Kluyveromyces lactis: one gene and its partners. The protein of the gene in region 2 binds, or shares a complex with, the protein of the main gene of each other region. Links are inferred from orthologs where the notes say so. Each region holds a gene or a part of one and is shown on either strand. Other genes may lie near its edges.

Region 1 (3,591 bases), on a different chromosome or scaffold from region 2:
ATGTCTTCACCACACATTTCTGGGGTCCAGTTTCAAACTTCGGTATCCCAATTGCTGCCATCTACGATTTGAAGAAGGATCCGGAGATGATTTCTGGACCTATGACGCTGGCTCTAGTGATGTACTCTGGTGTGTTTATGAGATATTCCCTAGCTGTTACCCCAAGGAACTTCTTGTTATTCGGTTGTCACGTTGTGAATGAAACAGCCCAACTTGTGCAAGGTTACAGATATTTAAACCATCATTATCTAGGTGGCAAGAAAGCTGACGCTACTGACGCCAATGTCGCCAAGACAGCCTAGATGCAAGAGAAAATGTAACCTGCCGACAAAACAACATTCTTTCTCCCATGGCTTAGATTACACTACTGTGTAGGTCTGTTATCTAAGATTTAATGCTAAGTTTATTTACGTACTGTATATTATATGTCTATATGTTCAATTACAGTTTATGAATTCATTTCGAAATGAAAAATAAAGTACTTCTTTCGTTCTTTATTATCAAGAGTCGAACAAACCTTTAGGTCTGTCAGCTTGTGTGGGACCCATGCCATCATCTTCTTCCTGTAGATTGAGATCTTCTTGGATTGCTTGTCTTTTCAAATTATTTAGATAAGCAGCCTTGTTCATTTCTCTTTGATGAGATTCATCTGTACCGACATTGTTCGATTCAATTGTTCCTCCCCATTCGACAGTTGTTCTCATTCTCTTTACTGGCTCGCTAATTGACGGCTCGGTTGTTGTGTTCGATGGTGTTGACTGGGAGCCAGTGTTTGAATTGGGAGTAGTGTTACTATTTTGTTTCCCCCACCTTTTAAACCTGAATTGCCTTCCTTCTTCGTCTTCGTCATCATCATCTGCTCCATCCTCATCCGTTATAAATAGTGAGCGTTTTGTATGTGGATACAGCATCTGCTTACTTTCCGGCCTTTGAAGCTTATCTGGTTTCACTACGGTATCCTTCTTGATTGGTGAAACTATCTTTTCTGGTGACAGGTTAAATTGGGTGACAGAATCCTCTGGTTCTTCGACCCTACCCTCGGTATCAGTTACCTGCACTAATTCCAATACAACCCCATCTTTTGTTATTTCAAAGAGAATGGGGTCACCAGGTTGGCAAAACCAGATTCTTATCATGTCATTTGTTTTCCAACAATTAAGTCCATTTAAGAATACTTTGAAATCTCGTAATTTGAACGTAATGCTCTTCTTAATACTTTGTGATCTGCTTGAAGGTCTCGAACCGTCGTTTTTTTCTGTTGAAAATATGCAGTAATGTTCTAGATCATTTGCGCTACATGTATTCGTTACTGTAACTGCTTGTTTGAGGTACCCTTGACTTTTCATGTTGTACACGGCTTTTGTAAATCCTATTATGGCTAGAGTATGTCTCGTCAATTCCAATTTTATTTCCTCGATCACATTAGACATAATAGAGTCAATGAAGTTTCTTAGTATTGATTGATCAAAACTTAAGAAGTTGATTTCGTCGTTAACCGTCAACGGTGTATTTTTCACTGTGCTCACAATATTGTGTTCATTGGCGATACCTCTATTAAACATATCATGTTCTAATTCTGTTTGTAAAGATTTGAAATAATCCACTAACCGAGGATCTAATGATCTGCCCTTACTTTTGTTGTTGTATACTGAAAGGAATTTTTGTTTATATTTCAGACTTAATATGATCTGAACACTTTCCAATGGATCAAAATTAACTTGATATTCTTTAGTTAGCAAAGATGCTGTCTTCATTTTGATTATGAGTTTGTTAGCTATAGTTTCAGAACAATTATCACAATTGTCGATAGTTAACATGTATTCTTTAATTGTATCCTCTTGTTTAAGTGATAATAGGGAAAGATACTTTGCATTCGCTTTGAAACTATAAATTGTGTGAAGAATGTCATTACAATCGGTGATCTGCTGCACTCCAGATTCACCAAATACAATCTTCTTCGGCTCGAAGTGATACTCTGTAAAGAACGACTTAGGAAATCGTACCTTGGCCATGGTCGTGTCTGTTGCATTCATGGATGATATCAATACACCATTTTCGGTGATTGTTATGAAGACATCAGGGTTTATTTGAGAAAGAGTTGCCAAGCATTTACCCCATATGGTCTGTTCATTCGTGCTGTTTATGGAAGCACGAAATGACATTGCAATGGCCTGTTGTCACAACTTCCAGTCAGAATCCCTTTATCTGGCGGTGATAAAAAACTCTTCACTAGATCTAAAGTTCGTGTTTTTTCTTGCAATTACGTGATTTATCTTTTTACAGATTAAATATTTGAACCTATGTCTATAAAGAAATAGTGCGAATGGATTAGTGATTATATTAATCTGTTATTATGATTCGTTTGGAGCTAGAGAAATTGCTGGAGTTGAAGCTTTTTCAGCGGGCTCTTTATATTTTTTCTTAGTCTTTTCCTTCTTACTGCCATCTTTGGTTTTCTTCTTCTTTTTCTTTTTAATAACTATGACTTCTTCTTTGTCATCTTGGATGGCTGTTAAATTGTCACTAATGTGTTGTTCTGCAAGTTTATTTTTTAGCTTTTCCAACTCCTCTTGATCAACAGTGTATTCACCGTCGTAATCAATGTTATCCTTTCGACTAAAATCAAAAGATTTGAATTTATTCGATGTGGAAAGAGTTATCGCATCTGAATGCCCAGAAGTATTTGATTTCTTCTTCCCCTCCTTTGTGATAGTGGATGGTGGAGCCACTACAATATCTGACAAAATTTGTACAGATGGTGACTTATTAGATTTCTTCTTTTTCGTCGAAATTTTGATGACGGGTTCGATTGTTTTTGTTTCACCCTCATCATCGTTATCACTCAATTCTATCAATTTCGTTTCTGCACGGTCAATTTTATCATCATTCAAATAAAACGGATTATCCAACCTCTCTTGTCTTCTGCGCTCTTCTAAAGCAGCAAGTTCTTCTTCTGTCATTGAAATGTCTTTCTCTGACGAGATATCCTGAGTTACAGATCCGTCAGAACTTCCAGCGCTTGCAGCAGATTTAACGCTCTCCTTGTCGGAATAATATGCAGCTTCATCTTCATATAGTTCTTCATTTTTCATTAATTCTTCGAGTTCAACAGAAGATAAAAATGGAGTGTCTAAATCGAGTGTTAACGCCTTAACCAACTGCTGTTGTTGTCCGTGTGACATTGGGCCAAGTTCATACTCATTGAAAAGACTAGGTAAAACGTCGGTAATTAATAGAGGTAACCCTTCCGTTTCATCTTGCAAAGCATCTTGACAGAGTTTTAACATTTCATAGAACTCTACGCTTCGTTCTTGTATATCAAAATTCGTTGATCTGTATTTTTGTTCCATGAATGCGATTAGTGTAGAAAGAAGATCTGATATTTCAGATTTGGTTCTACCCTCTGTGTTAGCATAGGTTGAGAATAATTTCACTAATGCAGGAATCATTGTCTGTATCACGGTGTCTGGAAGTTTATTGGCTTTGTTTAGGAGTATGCCAACGAGAGTGTCACAGTTATCAATTAACTCGGAATATTCCCCAAAGCACCATATTCCTTCCTTTAGTAGGTTAGGAAGCTTGGCGATAATA
Region 2 (6,583 bases):
GTTTGAGACTTAACCTTACCAGCACGAGCTAGGGAACCGTGAACTTTACCCTGTTAAGATAATTCAAAGATCAAATTTGAATCAGTTGTTAGTAAAATAATTCCAATAACCAAAATTTCATAGGTAAGTTCTGAACCTATTCCTCTTCTTCAAAAAGAGAAACTGGCATAACTTCTTTAGTTGGATAGACTTTCAGTGTTATGAACAAGATCTCTCAGTATCTATCGTTGAATTTCCTATTTCCAGATAAGCTCCCTTGATTTTCTGCCACTATAGTACTATATTTCTATGGTGCCCATAAGTAAAAAAAACACATATCATTGATGCTCTTTCCAACGAATGAGAGCTTCACTTTCAACTCATATATGTTTTGATATCTTCGAACTATGATAATGTGTTCGACACATACTTCTGGTACTAGTATTTGCCACTGATCTTACTGGTGTTTCTGTCCTTTATCCCATTATATTTTCTTAACTCCTTATTCATTAATGATTTGTGCCTTCTTATCTTGCTATTTTCGCATTCTTGTTTCATAAACGCTCGCCAGTCCAACAATATATTACACAGTTAACGTACCATTTTGTCTGTAGTTTGTTCTGCTTCTTTAATGTAATCAAAAAGAGTGGAGATTCAATAAACCTTTGCTATGTCTAATCTTATGTACAGAGTACATTTCGACCTTCAAATTCATTACAAACTAAGTTTCCATAAGTTTGACCTCTAAGCTCCTCACAAACTGCTGAAACTTTTCTAAAATATACAGCCAATAATTTCCCGTTTAGGGATATTTCGGGTGTTTCAGATATTTTTGTGTAATATGACGTTGGATGTCTGGATGTATTTCATGAAGAGAATTATAATGGTGTATGGATGTTTGTTGGGATCGAAGACAGTCCTCTGTATGTTCCAAAAGAATGATCCATGCCATTTCACGTGACTTAGACTTGGGGATCATCATTTGTATTACAAGTAATAATTAGTCAATACGAATATTAAATATTTAAATGAAATGATTAAACGATGGATCAAGCAAGTTGCCGTCTTGTTGACTGCAATTTAACAGATTTAAGACCTTAGCAGTATATTACAAGGCCGCCAGTCCGTGAAACTCACATTATATTACCAATGGATAGACCTCAATCGAACTACTTTGGTGCTGGACCAGCACAATTACCATTGCCAGTTTTACAACAGGCTGCCAAGGATTTGATCAATTTCCAGGATGAAGGTCTGGGTATTGGTGAAATCTCTCATCGTTCTAAGGCTGCTGCTAAGGTTATTACCGATACTAAGGCTCATTTGAAGGAATTGTTTGCAATTCCAGATACCCACGAAGTTTTTTTCTTGCAAGGTGGTGGCACCACGGGGTTTTCATCCGTTGCATCCAACTTGTCTGCAGCTCATTTCGGTAAGACCGGTGAGGTAGGTACTGCAGCCTACCTGATCACTGGTTCATGGTCTGAAAAATCTTCTCAGGAGAGCGAAAGGTTAGGTGTTCCAACGGAGGTTATCTTTAATGTGAAGAAAGACAATGGTAGATTTGGAACTATCCCAGAATCAAGCACTTGGGTCCAGAAATTGGATGCTAAGAAGCATTCATATGTGTATCTTTGTGAAAATGAAACAGTTCACGGTGTTGAATGGCCAGAGCAATTGCCTCGAGAATTGATTGACTCAAAGGTTCCTATCGTCGCGGATTTATCCTCTGACATTTTGTCCCGTAAGATCAATGTCGCTGATTATTCCTTGATTATGGCGGGTGCTCAGAAAAACATTGGGTTAGCAGGGTTGACCTTGTACATCATTAAAAAAGACATACTGGATGACATTGCAAAAGTTTCTCCAAAGCAATTGAGGGATGCTTCTCTACCAGTCTCACCAATTGCCACTGATTATCCAACTGTAGTGAAAAATGACTCTGCTTATAACACCATTCCTATCTTCACCTTACATATCATTGACTTAGTTTTACAACGCCTATTGGAACAAGGGGGAATTGAGAGCCAACAAAAAGAAAACGAGGAAAAAGCTAAGATCTTGTATGAAGCTCTAGACAAATTCCCAGAGTTCTACAATCTGCCAGTAGACAAAAAATACAGATCAAAAATGAATGTAGTCTTCACCATTAAGAAGGACGGTTTGGATTCTAAATTTTTGGAAGAAGCTACTAAGCTAAATCTAACTGGGCTCAAGGGTCACAGATCAGTAGGTGGGTTCAGAGCATCTTTGTACAATGCTGTTGAATTGTCTAGTGTTAAGCTGTTAGTCGATTTTGTCACCAAGTTTGCAGAGAACAATCAATGATCGTGATCAGTTTAACGATTTACATTTACTTATGTAATAAATAATTTGACCCTTCTCCTTATTGTTTTCATCTCTGTCAATGCCTCTTTCCAAAGAGCAATGGAAAACACAAGAGTCATCGTGTGATATCACTAGAACGACTTCTTCAAATGATTCATAAAGTTTAGAACAAACTTTCCAATCACGAACCCTTACTATAACCTCGTGACCTTTCAACTTGTCTTGTGATTGCCTAGCAGAAGCGTTTTCTAGCATTGTTGAATGTCGATCAATGGATTTTCCGTGTATACCAGTGTCCAAGACATCACTGTCCTCAATATGCATTTCATTGCATGCTACCGGTGATGGGGATGACTCTGCATTTGTCTCACCGTTGTGTCGAAGCGTATCATCTCTTGGATCAGAGTGTGAATCATCACCTTCCATATCATTGAGCATTGCATCTAACGGGCCTTTCCATGCGATGTTAAGTTTCCAGTCAAATTCATCAACAATTACCTTCAGTGAACCCTTTTCGCCCAATTGTTCGCCATGTATCTTGAGTGTATTGACATTTCCGTATCGTTCTATTCGCTTAAAAAACGCATTAAAACCTGGACCCCATTCACTTACGTGACTCGGAAGTTGTAACATCAAAATCCCCACATAATTAACTGTTGGTTCTACTATCTTCTCGTCTTGAGCATTGTACAGTAATTTGACGCCGACCTTAATATTATGCTGTATCGTCCTTTCATCTCGTGTATCTTGAAATGAAAAGCTTAATCCGCAGAGTGTATTGTCTGTATTGTGAGCAGCTGCAGCTGCTTCACTTTCCTTGTCAACAGTTACCAATCTTACCAATTTGATGGTCAATTGAGTTGCGTTGCATTTATCGAATTTCCGCAGCACGCCGACAATAGTATCACAGGGGCACTCCATGGCGACTCTATTATCTTCTCGAATTGAATTAACTACATATGTGTCAAACACATCGTGTGGGACTGTGCACCAAACTTGACCCTGATCTATGACCGTTCCTGTACTGTTTGGTGTTGATATAATGACCAGCCTAGAAGAGGTAAATCTTAAAATACATGTTTTTCGTAGTTTGGACACCGTTATCAACGTTGTCCTGAACAATGAGTAGTCCTCAGTACCTGCTTGAATACTTAGTTTTAGTTTCATTGCAAAATTCGTCCCGAGGATTAGCTTGCTATCACGTTTTTTTGTTATTCCCTTTGTATGTATGAGTTAAAGTTGAACTTTAGATCTGAACGGCCATAAACATCAAATTTAAACAATTCGTTGCCAACAATGTTTAATGACTGGAAGATCTATAAACATAAATTCTAGACGTTAAACGATAGACGAAAGAGAAAGGCTTATAGAGCTACGAGTTCTAAATTTCAGACCCGATAATTATGTTCAATAGGAGGTTGCTTCGACATGTGAGGTATGCCTTTCAACAAGTTAGAAGTAATCATTCATTACAAGAGAGGATCGATGCCATTCCAATTGAAAGATATCGTAACTTTTCTATAGTGGCTCATGTTGATCATGGTAAATCTACACTCAGTGACAGACTCTTAGAGCTCACTAACGTGATTAAGCCAGGTGGTAAGCAAGTTTTAGATAAGCTTGAGGTGGAAAGAGAGCGAGGGATTACAATCAAAGCACAGACATGCTCCATGTTTTACCAGGATCCTAGAACGAAATTGGACTATCTCTTACATTTAGTGGATACACCGGGCCATGTGGATTTTCGTGCTGAAGTTTCAAGATCGTATGCATCGTGTGGTGGCGCTTTGTTACTCGTTGACGCTTCCCAAGGTGTTCAAGCACAGACAGTCGCAAACTTTTACCTCGCTTATAGTATGGATTTGAAACTTATTCCTGTCATAAACAAGATTGACTTGGACATTGCTGACATTGACCAAGCAGAAGAACAGGTTGAAAATATGTTCGAGCTACCTAAGTCAGATTGTATCAAAGTTAGTGCTAAAACTGGATTGCACGTCGAGCAATTGTTACCCGCTATTGTTGATAGAATACCTCCTCCGACCGGTAAAGTTGAGAAACCATTACGTGCATTATTGGTGGATTCGTGGTATGACTCTTATTTAGGAGTGGTGCTTCTTGTACATATAGTTGATGGTCAAGTGAAAAGAGGAGATAAAATCATCACTGCCGCAAATGGATTGAAGTATGAAGTGAGGGAATGCGGTATAATGTACCCAGATCGTGTCGCTACTAACACACTGAAATCAGGTCAAGTCGGGTATTTGGTACCTGGCATGAAAGAATCTAAGGATGCCAAGATTGGTGATACTTTGATGCATCTCGGTAAAGAATCGATTACTGAAGTGTTACCAGGATTTGAAGAACCAAAACCCATGGTCTTCGTAGGAGCTTTCCCTGCTGATGGGGCCGAATTCAAAGCGTTAGACGATGATATTAGTAGACTCGTCTTAAATGATAGATCAGTGTCCCTCCAAAGAGAAACGTCAAATGCACTAGGCCAAGGTTGGAGATTAGGATTTTTAGGATCTCTTCACGCATCTGTTTTCACGGAGAGGTTAGAGAAAGAGTATGGATCCAAGCTTATCTTAACGCAACCTACTGTACCATTCCTAATTAAGTTCAAAGATGGCGAGAAGAAAATTATAACAAATCCTGATGACTTCCCCGACCTTTCCTTACGGAGATCAAATCTCGAGTCTCTTGAAGAGCCATTCGTCGAAGCTATCATGACATTACCCCAGGAATATCTCGGTAAAGTAATACAATTATGTGATGACAGCCATGGAGTCCAGAAAGAGATTACATACTTGAACATGACTGGCCAGGTGATGCTAAGGTATGAGCTACCGCTCTCTTACTTAGTGGACGATTTTTTCGGGAAATTAAAATCTGTTTCCAGAGGGTATGCTTCTCTCGATTATGAAGATGTAGGATACAAACAAAGCGATATAGTGAAGCTAGAGCTTCTTGTTAATGGTAAAAGTGTGGATGCTCTTGCACAAGTTATGCACAGAGATCAAACAGAGCATATCGGTAAGGAATGGGTAAAAAAATTCAAAAAGTTCATAAAATCTCAATTGTTCGAAGTGGTCATTCAAGCCAGAGCCAATAATAAAATCATTGCAAGAGAGACAATAAAAGCTAAGAGAAAGGATGTTTTATCCAAGCTTCATGCAAGTGACATTTCACGTAGGAAAAAGCTTTTATCTAAACAAAAACAAGGGAAAAAGAACATGAAAACTGTCGGTAACATCCAGATCAATCAAGACGCTTTTCAATCCTTTTTACGTCGTTGAACCCATCAGAGGTTTTCACATCAATTTATTATATTTAATTCTGTATATAGTCATACCAAATCTCATTATTTGCCTTTTAATACCATTTTCCAGCGAATATGATGTGTGCGGTTACAATTGCCCCGAATTAGCATGGGGTGTTCTTAGAAATTAGAAACAATTATATATAAGCAGGTGCTTCGCCAAACATCAAAGTATTTCCAGTACCACACACATCTTAGAAGAGATGAAAGCCATCAAACTAACGTTATCAACTATGTCCACTACTGAAAGGCTAATTAATGCAAACAGAGCTCTATTGCAATCAGTCACAAATCATATTTTGCCTAAAGAGCTTTGCAATGGAACATTATCAGATGATGTTCTATATATCTACTGCGCTCAAGACAAAAAATTCTTCGTATTAGCCCTCCGTCTACTCGCTTTTTACTCTTCAAGAGCACCAAGTGAGGAAGCTTTACTACGTCTCTGTAAACAAGTTGGGTTCTTGGCAGGTGAAGAGAATGACTACTTTGATCAATGTTTACAGATAACTGAACGGGACCCTCTTAAAAGATTCAAGACCCAAGTGTTACCAAAGGTTCAGAAATACCTTGATTTCTTGGAAAAGATGCCCGCCTCTGTTGATTATGGACAATGGGTCACTCATATGTGGTGTGCAGAGTATGTGTATTGGAAATGGGCGCACGATTTGCCCAGGTCAGACAAATTAGAATGGAAACATGAGGAATGGATAAAACTACACGATGGCGATCATTTTGAGGAGTGGTGTAACTTCTTGGCAGGTGAAGTGGATAAACTGCAGTATGAAGACGTAAGCAGAATTTTTGTTACCACGTTAGAGCTTGAAAAAGATTTCTTCGATTCCTGTCTTGAAGCAGCCAAATAAACAAGTTACTTACAGAATTTTTTACCATCGACGTAAGTTCAAATAAAGCCGTACTTGATACCACTGTGCATCTTATTCTCGTTTCAAT
Region 3 (3,195 bases), on a different chromosome or scaffold from region 2:
GCTGTTTTGGTTGAATCGGTTACTGAAGAAGCCATCAGCAAGTTGGTCCAAGGTTTGGCCACTGAAAACAACGTTCCATTAATCAAGGTTGCTGATGCCAAGCAATTAGGTGAATGGGCCGGTTTGGGTAAGATCGACCGTGACGGTAACGCCAGAAAGGTCGTCGGTGCTTCCGTTGTTGTTGTTAAGAACTGGGGTGCTGACACCCAAGAAAGAGAAATTCTTTTGGAACATTTCAGCCAACAATAAATGAGTGGATTTTGAATCTATGTTCAAATCCAATTTAACGCTTCTGTTTTACTCATTTTTCTCATACTCAACAATAACATAAACAGATTTCTTCATGGGAATATGGACATTGTTTGGTTTGATAAAATGCTCTATTTTATAGTTTGTATATATATTCTAGGGTATCTATATGTTTACAAATAGTTTCCATCTATACCTAAAATGACGTTAATTCCAACCTGATTAATTCAGCTTGTCGAAGCAGGGTTGCGCTAGAAGAATAGCGGCAAATCTTGCGAAGCAGCTTCATACCCGTCACTATTTTCCTCTTCTTTATCGTCATGTGCAGTTTTCTTCGGCGGTTGTTGTGTATTGGGAAGGAAATTATGGCGCGATTCACTTCCCATATATTCAATCATCATTACTTTTATCTCATTTACGTCTGGAAGCTCTGGAAGAGCTTTCTCAAGCATGCATATCTCAATAATTATCCCAGGATAATGACTTGGTAGATTGTTACCTGAAATGGCTCTAGTCCTCTTATACTCCTGGTCATTAGGTCTTAGTATATCCTTCGTTTCATTCAATATATTAACAGTCATCAAACCATGTACATCTCTACGTATCATGATTTTTGAAGCAATCCGAGCACTGGCTCGTATTTTGTCTAGCATTCCATAATCAAAAACACTTATCATTGGATGATCATATAAGAGGGTGGTTGAATCATTTGCGTATATTTCGAACTTCTCTAAAATCGATCTCTCATTAGGTAATATGATCTTAGATAAACCTTGTTGAGATCTTGAAATCAATGCGAATAAGGGCTTTTTGGTGGTTTCGTTATGTATCGCATAAAAATAGCAATCTTTGCATCCAATTTCCTTCAAATCGTGTAAGGCATTGTGTAAGACATCCCCTTTTATTATGCATTCGAATTGCAGTCGCGTTCTATCTAGTACCAACCCAGTGTTGTCTAAGTCTTTGAGCAGATATGTTGAGTATTCGACGCTTTCAGTGATCATGTTATCTTCGAATATTAATATGAATGGGGATCCATCCCCATTATATGTTAAAGTACACTCAATTATATCGTTCCGATCGTTACTGATATTCAAACTATCCAATACATGGTCAAGCCGCAGGGATACCTTGGTCAAAGATGTTTCAGTTATCGGGCTATAGTGAAAGGTTTGAAATAACTCCCGTGAAAGAACCAATTGGATCTTGATTACATGATTGTTTTCTTGGGCAAAGGACAAACCATTTTTATCTATGGTGATGAGCATTTCACCTTTCACTCCAAAAGGTGTTAAACAATTCAAAGCCGTCACAATATGATCCAAATGGACAGTCGTCGCATAAAAAATAGGAGAATCTATCATTGTGGGTTGCCGAAAGATTAAGGGTTCAAGATGTTGACGGTTCTCTGGTTTCTACTTATTTATGTATTGTACATACTGATATATTGTTTATAAAAACAAGTGAAATGGAATCAAAATCATAAATAGAAACCTCATTGCCATTATATGCGAGGAGATAAGGAAACCACCAATTGGCTAAACAAGTCCCTTATGAAGCAAGCCCGGCAAAAGAAGCTTTCGATTATAGCTGTTGGGGTATTATCGACAGTGGCAGTAACTGTAGGTTATTTATTATATCTGTATCGTGGCCAGCGAAACCCGAATATAAGAGACGTAAAACCAAAGTCGAAATGTTACGTTCTTACACAAGACTTGTTCGATAAGATCGAAAATTGGCAAGAAGAACTATCAAAAGACAGCGTAATGTTAGTTTTACCAGAAGTTGCCCACTTAGGAAATCATTTAAAGTTACAGCTATCGTCTATTGAACATAAGATTGTCATCTTTAACAATTCATCGGCCGTTTGGAGTGCAGTTAGGCATTTAAAGAAATACGAGTTGGTAATAAGTCGTGATAAGACTTCTGATATGCCAGTAGATCTCAGGAGGTATGTGGGACAGATTTCGCACATTTGAAATCTGAAATTTACATCAGTTTTAATGTATGCTATTATAATAGTACTATAATGTTTACATCGTAAACTTATCTCTAACAGAACTTCTGGCTGAATGAAATGGTTAGAAATCTACCATATTGAAATTTGCTATTGAACTGCAATGCATACTATGCTTGATGTTCGTGATTGTGTATTCTACAAATAAAGAGTACTCGGCTATAACAACAACATGCAAGCTGAAGGACTTTATTAAACAATCAAGTACTGTAAAAGCAGAAAGCCGACATACGCATTGTATCACCCGAAGAAGGTTACTAGATTTCTCACATCCTTACTCCTGCCTCAACATGCACTGGAATCAATATAAAAAAAAACAGCATTCCTTAACAGAATGGCCTCAATGATATAATATTAGGAACTGTCTTAGAGACAGGATGGTATAGCACAGCATAGGGCCGAAATAAAATGTTATCGCCAATTTCAAAACTGATCTTCATTACCTCTTTATTTTGGCGCTTATATAATTGATCCTAAGGACCAAAGGATAGTGCAGTGAAGTGTAGCAAGACAATGTTCTTTTGAGGAAATAATTGGACTGACAGTTATTAACTGATATTTCAGCAACTTAAAAGAAAGAGTGGCTTGTTAATGCTATTTGATATGCAGGATCAACAAAGCCATAGTAATAGCTTCCACGATAACACAAGAAATTTCTGCTTATGTGTCTTTGGAGCTATTTATGGATTGTGAAAGGCTCTATTCGTACTCGTCCACATAGCGATGCCCCATTTTCAAATATACAATATTTCCATAAAATGACGTTCTAGAAATGTGGATATATGCAGTTGAAAAGAACAGAGCTTTGGGTAAATTTGTAGAAATTGACGAACGATTTACAGAATGATAGTTGCTCCATCCCAAAATTATACACTCCTACTAAAGGTAACTCATAGTGGGTAGATAAATCTTTTGTTTTCAAAATCGGT

Evidence for each region.
Region 1: MEC3 (region 2) and DDC1 share a complex: the UniProt entries of both Saccharomyces cerevisiae proteins name them as parts of the checkpoint clamp complex. The link is inferred for Kluyveromyces lactis from reciprocal best matches to the Saccharomyces cerevisiae genes MEC3 and DDC1.
Region 3: MEC3 (region 2) and RAD17 share a complex: the UniProt entries of both Saccharomyces cerevisiae proteins name them as parts of the checkpoint clamp complex. The link is inferred for Kluyveromyces lactis from reciprocal best matches to the Saccharomyces cerevisiae genes MEC3 and RAD17.

What each region holds. Positions count from the first base shown.
Region 1 is NC_006041.1:1,723,599-1,727,189, forward strand, and holds DDC1 (Ddc1p), read right to left. Parts: upstream 2,163-3,591; coding exon 501-2,162; downstream 1-500. Other genes in the region: pyruvate transporter MPC1, read left to right, coding at 1-302; APL5 (Apl5p), read right to left, coding at 2,352-3,591. UniProt on the Saccharomyces cerevisiae protein: Component of the checkpoint clamp complex involved in the surveillance mechanism that allows the DNA repair pathways to act to restore the integrity of the DNA prior to DNA synthesis or separation of the replicated chromosomes.
Region 2 is NC_006039.1:438,457-445,039, forward strand, and holds MEC3 (Mec3p), read right to left. Parts: upstream 3,475-6,583; coding exon 2,314-3,474; downstream 1-2,313. Other genes in the region: RPS30A (40S ribosomal protein eS30), read right to left, coding at 1-50, 580-582; SER1 (O-phospho-L-serine:2-oxoglutarate transaminase), read left to right, coding at 1,129-2,307; GTPase GUF1, read left to right, coding at 3,711-5,606; PET18 (Pet18p), read left to right, coding at 5,833-6,495. UniProt on the Saccharomyces cerevisiae protein: Component of the checkpoint clamp complex involved in the surveillance mechanism that allows the DNA repair pathways to act to restore the integrity of the DNA prior to DNA synthesis or separation of the replicated chromosomes.
Region 3 is NC_006042.1:16,100-19,294, reverse strand, and holds RAD17 (Rad17p), read right to left. Parts: upstream 1,614-3,195; coding exon 501-1,613; downstream 1-500. Other genes in the region: RPS12 (40S ribosomal protein eS12), read left to right, coding at 1-249; ubiquitin-protein transferase activating protein PEX22, read left to right, coding at 1,758-2,228; KLLA0_F00286g (uncharacterized protein), read right to left, coding at 3,157-3,195. UniProt on the Saccharomyces cerevisiae protein: Component of the checkpoint clamp complex involved in the surveillance mechanism that allows the DNA repair pathways to act to restore the integrity of the DNA prior to DNA synthesis or separation of the replicated chromosomes.